Caenorhabditis elegans: one gene and its partner. The protein of the gene in region 2 interacts with the protein of the main gene of each other region in a biochemical or structural test. Each region holds a gene or a part of one and is shown on either strand. Other genes may lie near its edges.

Region 1 (5,077 bases), on a different chromosome or scaffold from region 2:
ACTGAAAAATCTCTCAGAACTTTAAATGCCTGTATTTATATCAATTCGAGAGTAATTTCTATCGATTGTTGGCTTAATTTGTTGCTAAACTATTCATCTTTAAGATTCTGAAAAGAAAATTCAATTTCATAAAGAACCGAGAAAGTTATGCGTGATTTAGTCAAGTGCCCTCAAGTTTCGCGCCATTTCGCATTCGGCGCCAAACAAGATGTGTCCCGACAGGGTGGTAGAGCGCGAGTATATAAGGATGGCGCGCGCTCATTTCTCACACTCACTCTCCAAGTGACCACTACTCATCCGTTCAACAATGTCTGACGTCGCCGTTGCCGCCGACACCACCGAAACTCCAGCAGCCCCAACGAAAGCTTCAAAAGCTACGAAGGCTTCAAAAGCTACGAAGGCTTCAAAAGCTACGAAGGCCAAGACTACCAAGGTGCCAATGGTCAAGGCCGATGCCGCCCATCCACCATTCATCAATATGGTCACCGAAGCCATCAGCAGCATCAAGGACCGCAAAGGACCTTCCAGAGCCGCAATTCTCAAGTATATCACTACAAAATACACGCTTGGAGATCAGGCTAACAAGGTATGTGTTTTATTTAAAGCAGAAAAGCTAAATTCAAATCAATTTTTCTGAAAAATTTTGACCAGGTTTTTGATTACAATAACTTCATTTTTAACCTAAAAATTCTTAAAATAATAAATTGCCGAACAGAAAAGCAGAAAAAAAACTATGTAGAGATGACGTTCCCTAAATTTACCTTTCTTTCAGATCAACGCTCACCTCCGCAAAGCTCTTAACAAGGGGCTTGAAAGTAACGCCTTCGTCCAGGCTAGCGGAAATGGAGCCAACGGACGGTTCCGTCTTGCCGAGAAGACAGCCTCCGTGGCCAAGTCGCCAGCTGCAGCAAAGAAGGACGCCACTGGAGAGAAGAAGGCTACGACGACCGTCGCCAAGAAGGCCGCCACTGGAGAGAAGAAGGCTACGACGACCGTCGCCAAGAAGGCCGCCACTGGAGAGAAGAAGGCTACGACGACCGTCGCCAAGAAGGCCGCCGCTGGAGACAAGGCCAAGAAGACTGAAGTCAAGGTGAAGAAGGTCAAGTCGCCGAAGAAGATCGCCAAGTCTCCAGTCAACAAGGTCACCAAGTCTCCAGTCAAGAAGATCGCCAAGTCTTCATCCATGAAAGCCGCTCCAAAGAAGGCCGCTGCCAAGCCAGCCAAGAAAGCTCCCGCCGCCGCCCCAGAGGCCTAATCACATTGTGTGAATAATCAAATTAATTTCGATCTCACCATTGTATTATATCTCTCCCTCTTGTAGGTGTCCCAGATACTGGTTTTTTTGCATCTAATCATTATTTATTGTTCCTTTGACAAACCAATTCCTATCAATGAACCAATTACTGCATAAAGTTTCAGCGTTTTCTCGTCTTTTCAAAACCTTTCAGATTTTCGGAACAGTGTTCACAGCGGGAAAAGATAGATAAAGTCCCGGAACATCTAGCAGACAGTCTTCTTCACCGTTTGGAAATTTTTGTTGTTTTCCTTCTGGAAAAATTGTATATCAAGTTCATTCGACTGATCAAGCTCGATTTCTTAAAATACACAACTTATCGGCTTAACTTGCAATTTTTGCAATATTCAGATCTTTTTTCAAATAAAGCAACAAATTCTGTTTAAATTTACTCGCAATATTTCGAATTCGGTAATGAAAAGTACTTTCAGAGAACTTTCTAGATTTTTTTTTGAAAAACTGATTTAATTTTTAAAGGCGCACGCCTTTTCCCACGCGATGGGTCCCGACTGGAAAAGCCTCCACGAACTTTTCGATGATTTAGAAGTCAATTTTTTTAAAAAGTTTTTTGTGTGTTTTTGCTCGAAGTTTCTTATTTTCAATCATCATTTGGTGAATTTAAACATTTTACACGTAAAATTTCAGTGTTATTCGTGATTAAAAAGTTCACATGGAAGCAAACAAACGACAAATTGTGGAGGTCGATGGGATTAAGTCCTACTTTTTCCCCCATCTCGCCCATTACCTCGCGAGCAATGACGAGCTGTTGGTCAACAACATAGCACAGGTTTGACTGTAACTATTGGGATTTTTGTTAAATATTCTTCTTACAGGCGAACAAGCTTGCAGCTTTCGTCTTGGGAGCCACCGACAAACGCCCAAGCAATGAAGAAATTGCGGAGATGATCCTGCCAAATGACTCCAGTGCCTACGTGCTTGCTGCTGGCATGGACGTTTGCCTTATTCTCGGGGATGACTTCGTTGGTTTAATTCCGAAATGTTCTTGTATTAATAATTCATTTCAGCGACCAAAGTTCGATTCTGGCGCTGAGAAGCTGAGTCAGCTTGGACAAGCTCATGATTTGGCTCCAATCATCGATGATGAAAAGAAAATCTCGATGCTCGCCCGAAAAACAAAGCTAAAGAAGTCGAATGACGCCAAGATTCTGCAAGTCTTGCTCAAAGTTCTCGGTGCGGAAGAAGCGGAAGAGAAGTTTGTCGAGCTCTCGGAACTGTCGAGCGCCTTGGATCTTGATTTCGACGTCTATGTCTTGGCAAAACTGCTTGGATTTGCATCGGAGGAGCTCCAGGAAGAAATTGAAATCATCCGTGACAACGTCACAGATGCGTTTGAGGCCTGCAAGCCGTTGTTGAAGAAGCTGATGTAGGTTATCATGATTTAATGTTGTGTGTCTCAGGAGTGTTTTTCAGGATCGAGGGACCGAAGATTGATTCTGTGGACCCATTCACCCAACTTCTGTTAACTCCACAAGAAGAATCTATCGAAAAAGCTGTATCCCACATCGTTGCTCGCTTCGAAGAAGCCAGCGCCGTCGAGGATGATGAATCACTCGTCCTGAAATCTCAGCTAGGATATCAATTGATTTTCCTCGTCGTTCGCTCACTTGCTGATGGAAAGCGTGATGCTTCCAGGACAATCCAATCGTTGATGCCGTCGAGTGTCCGAGCGGAAGTGTTTCCCGGATTGCAACGGAGTGTTTTCAAAAGTGCCGTGTTCCTCGCAAGCCATATCATTCAAGTCTTTTTGGGATGTTAGTTACAAAGATTGCAAACTTCTTTGAACAGTTTCTTTTTCAGCCATGAAGTCATTCGAGGATTGGGCGTTTGTTGGCCTCGCTGAAGACTTGGAGAGCACGTGGAGAAGAAGAGCAATCGCTGAATTGCTGAAAAAGTTCAGAATCTCTGTTCTCGAGCAGTGCTTTTCTCAACCAATCCCACTGGTAAAATTATTCCTTCACGTGAACTTATAATCAATATTTTCCTTTTTCAGCTCCCTCAAAGCGAGTTGAACAACGAAACTGTCATCGAGAATGTGAATAATGCTCTCCAATTTGCATTGTGGATCACAGAGTTCTACGGATCGGAGAGTGAGAAGAAATCACTCAATCAGCTTCAATTCCTAAGCCCAAAATCCAAGAATCTTCTTGTTGATAGCTTCAAAAGTAAGCAAAAAGGCTTCTTATTTTAATCGAATAAATTTTACAGAGTTCGCCCAAGGACTGGATTCTAAAGATCACGTGAATCGTATCATTGAATCTCTGGAGAAGAGCAGTTCGTCGGAACCTTCTGCAACTGCAAAACAGACCACAACTTCCAATGGACCGACCACCGTCTCTACTGCAGCTCAAGTAGTAACTGTTGAAAAGATGCCATTCAGTCGTCAAACGATTCCATGTGAAGGAACAGACTTGGCGAATGTGCTCAATTCTGCAAAGATCATCGGAGAAAGTGTTACCGTGGCTGCCCATGATGTCATTCCGGAGAAACTAAATGCGGAGAAGAATGACAATACTCCATCAACTGCCTCACCTGTTCAATTTTCTAGCGATGGTTGGGATTCTCCGACAAAATCTGTTGCTCTGCCACCGGTAACAATTTTTTAAATTTATTTTGTATTTAATATAATAACCGATTTTCAGAAGATCTCGACTTTGGAGGAAGAACAAGAAGAAGATACAACGATCACCAAGGTTTCTCCGCAACCACAAGAACGAACTGGAACCGCATGGGGATCAGGCGATGCGACTCCAGTGCCTCTTGCTACTCCGGTTAACGAATACAAAGTTAGTGGGTTCGGCGCTGCGCCAGTCGCTTCGGGATTCGGACAGTTTGCCAGCAGCAACGGAACGTCTGGAAGAGGCTCTTATGGAGGTGGTCGCGGTGGCGATCGTGGAGGAAGAGGAGCATACGGTGGCGATCGTGGACGTGGAGGTTCCGGAGATGGATCTCGTGGATATCGTGGTGGTGATCGAGGAGGACGCGGAAGTTACGGCGAAGGATCTCGTGGTTACCAGGGAGGACGTGCCGGATTCTTTGGTGGATCCCGTGGAGGTTCCTAAGCCTTCAAATTTCAACGTTTTATTGGTTGTATATTTTGAATATGTACTGATTACGTATTCACAAGTTTTAGGTTCTCTTTTTTCTAAATGATGTAAAATTTCCCAAATCATGTTTTATTTATTGAACCCCGTTTTATTGTGATCCAAGTAAATGTTTGTACTTCTATAGGAATCAGATGAATTTCGCTTTCAGACTTAAAAGTAATGCGTGGGATAATTAGTGATGTCATCATTGTAAATAGTCGTGGTGTCTCTAATCTGGACAATTCGTGTGTGATATCAAGGAATTGCTGATCGAATTAAAGGTACGGTAGCTACCGTTCTAGGATGGTGCAGCCTACCGAATGTACATATTTAGTTTGATGAGGAAACAATTTGCAATGATTAAAACGCCTTTCCGAAATAAATATGGTGCTCGGTCTCGAAACGATAAACTTTCATTGATTGTGAAAAGGTGCGCGCCTTTAAGGATTACTGTAGTCTCAAACTTTCGTTGCTTTAAGACTTACACTTTCCGATGGAAAAATCAAAGACGTCATTACATTTCTAGTTTTTTTTCCAATTAATCTGTTGAAAGTTATTACGGGAACACAAAATTACGAGAAAGCGTATTTTCGCAACACATTTGACGCGCAAAATATCTCGTAGCGAAAACTACAGTATTTCCTTAAATGACTACTGTAGCGCTTGTGTCGATTTACGG
Region 2 (5,918 bases):
AAATATGATTTTCTTAGCATGTCAGTGCTTCCGCGCACAAGCTTCGTTTAGGCCTTGACTGAATTTCACAGTACTCGATACTCAATCAGCTGCCACTGTCACCTAACAATATCAATCTTTTAGATTTTTTGTGTGAAGCATCTCTGAATCAAGAGCATTCTTTGAACTTTAAATTTTACTTGATAACTAATGAGTCCTCCGAGAAAAACATGAAAAACCCTGAAGCGTGCCTACTTGTCCGCCATCGTTGGTGCGTTTCCGAAACTTGTGAAGGCCTGTAGCAATGCGGACGGTGATATTTTCGAATTCAAAAATGGTATCTTATTTAGTTTTTCTCGGAGAACAAAACCTATATGATTATTTGTTTAATGTGTTTTTTGTTTTGGTTTTATGAAGCTTCAAAGTAGTGCGCATAATTATGGCCCACCCTGTATTAAAAAACGGAACTTTTCCAAACAAATCTGAAGCATCTGTTTTAAAATTGAATCCGTGACTACTATTTTGCCTAATGACAGTATTTAAATTTCACAAAAAAGATCTATGAGAAGATATGTATATTTTCAAATCAGTTACCAATCATCTTTTCTTAAATCTATTTCGAACTTTTCTTTTATTCTAGTTCCACTCCAAATCTTAAAGAATCGGCAATTCTTTATCAATCATCCAGACAACAATATAATACTACCCTCTACAAGTATCTGGGTAGACATAATACAAATTCACAAGGAGAAGCGAGTTGAAATATAACAAGAGTGGATAAAGGGTTAATGAACAAGAATAACATACAATATAGTCTACAAGTAATAGATATAAATTGGTACAATCATTGATCTCTGGGTGGGTCAAAAATAGATTCCAGCCAATCCCGTTTTACATTCAAGTATTTGATAGGATCCGATTTCCGAAGATGTGCAAGTAAACACGCATCAGCAATTGCGATGATATTCTTCTGTCCGATACACTCCTTCCACAACATGTAGAGCATATTGGTGGAGTCTGTGGAGCTGCTCGTATCGTCCAGCCGAGCCTGAACAAACGTGGCAGCAATCTCTTGCATAACTGCAAGCTGGTGAGGATTTCCTAAGCAGGCTTCAGCAAAACGGAGGAACCATTTTCTGAACATATTTCGCACAGGTGGAACTCTTGGATCTGAAAAAATTAAAGTTTTCAAGATTAAATATGTCTTATCTTTCTTACCATCGGCATAAGGACCATCCAATCTTGGAATTGTCTCGGTGCAAAAATAATTCAAGTACAGCCATCTTTCAGGTGACATCCCGTGAATATTCAAATTCACTTTCAGGAGTTGTGTCTTTTCTTTGTAGTTAGTATCAATGTAGTCGTTAAAGTCTTGCTGAGCTTCCAGGAATGCTGTCAAGCTTTCAGAAATGCGAGGTGGTGGCGAGGTTGAAGCTGGATCTTGAGTGCAATCTTGAGAAGGATATTCGATCCGATCGGCTGATTCACAAGGAAGTGGAGCCGGATCACTGAAAGAAATTTACTGTACTCAGAAAATAATTTTACAGGATTTGAATCAAGTTTTGAGCTCAATCTTTTCAGCTTGTACATTATTTTCCATATGCTTGATCGATAGCGGATTTATTAACTTGGACCTTACCTGGTGATTTCGAAGGGCCATTTCCCAGCTTGATTGTATACTTCAGCTGCACGAATTTCACAATTGATTCCACTTCTCTTCGGAGTTGGGCAACCATTACAATCCGTGGAAACTGGAATTCCGGTAATGTAAGAGCTGGAAAAGAAAATATGGAAATGTTGTTCGTTTTTTGTAAAGTCATACCTTTCCAGCGCCACAACCTTTGGAGTCAACTTTTGAGCAATTCGCTTTCCTGAAGCTGTTTCTTTTCCAGAAACTGTGACGGAATACATTGGTGATTTTGTAGCTTTAGAATCAACCACGCCAAGTGACTTGTTCAACTTTGAAGACCTGTAAAAAATATAATGAAATAAGAAGCTCCAAGTGTAAAACTAACTTGCTGGATGATGTCAGACATCTTTCTCCGATCAAAGCCTTTGGAGTTGGGATGATTGACGAGGAAGGTGTTCTCTTTACATCCACATTGTTCCGATTGATCTGATCCTTGCTGAAATTTAAATTTTTACTAAAGATTTTACTATTTCACTACATACCTTGAGGAAGCACGATTTGCAGATTTCGGCATCTCAGGGTCCCCATGAAGTAAACGTCTCATTTCCTCAACGTTGGCATCAAAAGTTCCTGTCCACTTTCTTCTTGAGATCTTTGGAGGAGAACTCGGCTGTGGACTTGGCGTGGGTTCCTCGTCTTCTTCAACAGTTTCCAGTGTCACATCAAGACTGGCCAGACGGGAGGCACTACGAGAACTTCCACGGCGCTTGATCGACAGTGAAGTTTTCTTGGGAAGACTCACTGGTAGGGTTTGGTTGTTAGCATCCACAAAACTGGAGTCAAAGTCTTCACCAATTGAGCAATTTAGATCACTTGCTGGTAATGTCCGATTCAAATTGCTGCATTCTCCATGAGAGCTGGAAGGCAAGTGAATCTGTTGTCCGATCTTCATGCTGACAATTTCCAATAACTGTTCAATGGAGAGTTCAGTGCCGTCCTTGCTGAATACATTGGATACCAGGTTACGTTTAGCCGCTTCTTCAGAAGATTTGCATTTTTCAGTCAATTGTTTACTGCCTGCATTCTGCTTTGAATAAGTCGATTGTTGAAGTTTCTTAGTGACTGATCGAGATCTCCGACCACGGGCAGCATCCATGGAATCGTCTATGAACACATCGTCAGTTAATTCATCGTCATTTGTGTTGAAGTAAGTACGATCCTGGAAGTTGCTGCTACCACGTGATTTTTTTCTGTCGTTTCTTGATTTCTGTTGTTGATTTTTCATCGATGAGGTTTCATGTGTAGGAAATCCAGAGAAGCTCTGGTTCAAATTCCGCGACTTAATAGCATCGTGCTTTTGGACAAGACTAGAATTGATAACCTCCTTTCCAGATGCATTTTTATTGTCCTTATGGCCTTTTTTAAAAGCGTGTCCATGAACTCCAGCTTGAGCGTTGAAGCTTTTATTTCCAAGACATTGCTGGTGAACATTGGTTTGTCGCAGTTTCTTAGAATTATTTTCTTGCTTCTGGAACCCAACGGGAACGGAACTCACACTGAATGACTTATTCCCAGCGTGACCATAATTGTTCGAACCATCCGAGAAGCTTAGGCCATGTTGTCCATTCTGACGACTTCTACTACGTCTTGTGTTTGATTGCTGAACGTCGTCCTGATCTGTGGATACTGGGAATCTTCGTTCATACCAGCTGGAGCTATTGCGTGTTTGCAAGTTGCGGCGGAAGTCTGCAGAGAAGACGGGGGCCGTAGGAGGAATACTGTTAAAGGCGTTGCTGCCGTTTCCTTGAGCTGCATGCATCGACTGATTGAATACTCGACCATGTCGAGTCATCGAGTGATTCAGCTGTTGGCCATTCATGAATGTATTCCCGTTGAATGATACGGATCCGTGATGAGATATCCCCGATTTTGCACCATATTCACGGCTTGTTGACTGAGCACTGTCTTGTTTTGCGATCGGATTGAACAATTCGTCAAGAGTGATTTGGTGTTCCATGTTGTTGGATGCACTTTCCTGATTGCTACGACTACTTGAGCGGCGACCTGAATTTACAAATTGAATGAAAAATTGATGCAAAAAACTCTCACCTCCTCTTTTTCTTCTCGAGTTTGGCAGACCGCTTGGGTAAGGTTTTGAGGAACTCATACCTGCAAAAATCAAAACTTAATGAAATATTGAAATAAATGAAATTTAAAAAAATACAACGAAAAAGAAAGACAGAGATGAAAAAATGCAAACCGGTGGGACCACGCAACAAGAATGAACACTTGAGTTAGGGAGATTGAGAGAGTGTGAGAGGTAGAGAAAGAGCGCGCGGAAATAGTGTGTGGCGAGACGGACAGGGGCGATGCGTGCGCGCGGTGAAAAAATAGTTCAAATGCGGCAGGGAATCAACAAAACAACACACACCGTTTGCATGGTATCGATCAGTTTTCAAGACTATCCAAGACTATGGAGTTTTGAGGAACAATTGGATTGATAGTTAATTCTCTAAAATATTGGATAATCACTGAATAATAAATGAGAAGAATAAATTTATAAAAAGAAACAGGATAATAGGCAGTAAAGGAGATGTTAATTAGAAAACCTGTAAGCGAAAAATCAAAACTAAAATAATTTTTTATCTCAAACTTTTTAAAAGAAACGGCGGAACATAATCCTGAATTCCTGAAAACGAGATGTAAAGGGTCGTTAAAATAGCTCCAAAAACGGATTTGTGCAGAGTTTTGAAATTTTTTAAAATTATTTTAATATAGGAATACTAAGTACCTGGAAAGTAATAAAAACTGCTTTATATAGAACATTGAAATCTTTTGTTTTTTAACATAAATTTTAAAAAATGTTTGGATATCCCAAACTAATAAGGATTCTTAACATTATTAATTCATAAAAATATGAAAAAATGTCTATTCAAAGGATTTTTTTTGATCGAAGACTTCTAAAAAGTTACAAAAACTGAGAATCTTCAAGTAGAAATTTGGTATTCCTTGGGACTTCAGATTATTCATATTTTATTTTTCAAATTATTCTCGATGGTTTTTTAATTTAAAAAACAACTCATCGACATTGATGCTTTCAAACAGGATAGATCTAATGTTACTAATTTCCTGCTACTATAGCTACTGCTACATTGTGCACAATGTATGATGTCACACACTTGGAGGATTTATAACCACTTTCTATGTATCGATTATACCATTTAGACGCTCGCCTGCTCCGTTAGTCTGCTCAGTGTTTTTTTTTTTCGATTACATATTTGAGTTACCATTTGGTATGAGCTCCTTTATTTCACAACTCTCCTCATTTATTTGTCTGAGATTTTTTAAACGTCGAGGTATCAGGACCCCGTCAAACAAGGCAAGAACATATGTATTTTACAGTTTTTCGTTTAATTTTATTGATTTTTTAGATTCAACCCTTTCACCTACTTGGTTTACCGTATCCTGCATTTCGGAATATTATACATCAATTGAAGTTGACTGAAGTGTGAGTTGAAGTAGGTTTTAATTATCTAAATGTCTATTGTTTTCAGAATAGAACTATCAAAAAATTCTGGTGAAACCAGATGTAGATTTAAAAAAAATTAATCGAAAAATCTACAAACTTCTTATCGACAACCGTGTTTTCCATGTTGATCTACCACCATTCCGAAATCCTAGTGATTTATTTTCAAGCAAAGTGATTGCTATAGAGACTTCAGAAGACATGTATTATCCTTTTAAGTCTGGTAAACTACTGACTTTAAGATATCCAAACCTTTTTTCAATCAGCATTACCAACTTTTGCATCTCTACGTTTTGGTAATTTTTTGATTTTTCTGCTAGTTTTTTCTCAAACATGTGTGATTTGTTTAGTCTGAATGACCTTAAACATTTGAAAACTTTCAAAAAGTTTTTACCTAACCATGTTTTAACATTTCACGGTAGTTCAAAAATTTTAGACCGGAGGGGTTGCTCAGTCGGTAGTGATGACCAGGCAGTGTACCTGACTCTCAGTTCCGCAGTGCATAGCACTTAAGTCGAGATCGTTTTTTAATCTTCAATTAATATAAACCCCAAGTAAATAAAACTCTACTGAAACAATTCTCATGCATCGCCATATAAAACTGTAATTTTTTCAGTGACTATTCGAAATTTAAAAAATTCAATACAATGAGCTACGACCAACCGAATCAGTTGATCGAAATTTTGAATTCTATTGACCAATTATTTTTTTGTTGAAAACCTCGATTTACTGATCAGCCATGAGAAGTTATTCGGCGATTATCGGCCAACACTAAGTCATCCA

The links.
Region 1: the proteins of meg-3 (region 2) and pgl-3 form a complex in vitro, tested with the Caenorhabditis elegans proteins (one study listed by BioGRID).

Annotation. Positions count from the first base shown.
Region 1 is NC_003283.11:4,754,046-4,759,122, forward strand, and holds pgl-3 (Guanyl-specific ribonuclease pgl-3), read left to right. Parts: upstream 1-1,939; 5' UTR 1,940-1,964; coding exon 1,965-2,081; intron 2,082-2,127; coding exon 2,128-2,274; coding exon of another isoform or gene 2,275-2,278; intron 2,279-2,319; coding exon 2,320-2,678; intron 2,679-2,725; coding exon 2,726-3,066; intron 3,067-3,112; coding exon 3,113-3,255; intron 3,256-3,305; coding exon 3,306-3,477; intron 3,478-3,520; coding exon 3,521-3,903; intron 3,904-3,954; coding exon 3,955-4,374; 3' UTR 4,375-4,539; downstream 4,540-5,077. Other genes in the region: hil-4 (Histone H1.4), read left to right, coding at 308-586, 773-1,255. UniProt on the Caenorhabditis elegans protein: Guanyl-specific endoribonuclease which cleaves the phosphodiester bond in single-stranded RNA between the 3'-guanylic residue and the 5'-OH residue of adjacent nucleotide, resulting in the formation of a corresponding 2',3'-cyclic phosphate intermediate.
Region 2 is NC_003284.9:1,985,830-1,991,747, forward strand, and holds meg-3 (uncharacterized protein), read right to left. Parts: upstream 3,779-5,918; 5' UTR 3,777-3,778; coding exon 3,719-3,776; intron 3,674-3,718; coding exon 2,152-3,673; intron 2,106-2,151; coding exon 1,995-2,105; intron 1,949-1,994; coding exon 1,802-1,948; intron 1,754-1,801; coding exon 1,619-1,753; intron 1,488-1,618; coding exon 1,198-1,487; intron 1,150-1,197; coding exon 824-1,149; 3' UTR 640-823; downstream 1-639. Other genes in the region: Y40A1A.2 (F-box domain-containing protein), read left to right, coding at 4,905-4,988, 5,041-5,117, 5,164-5,218.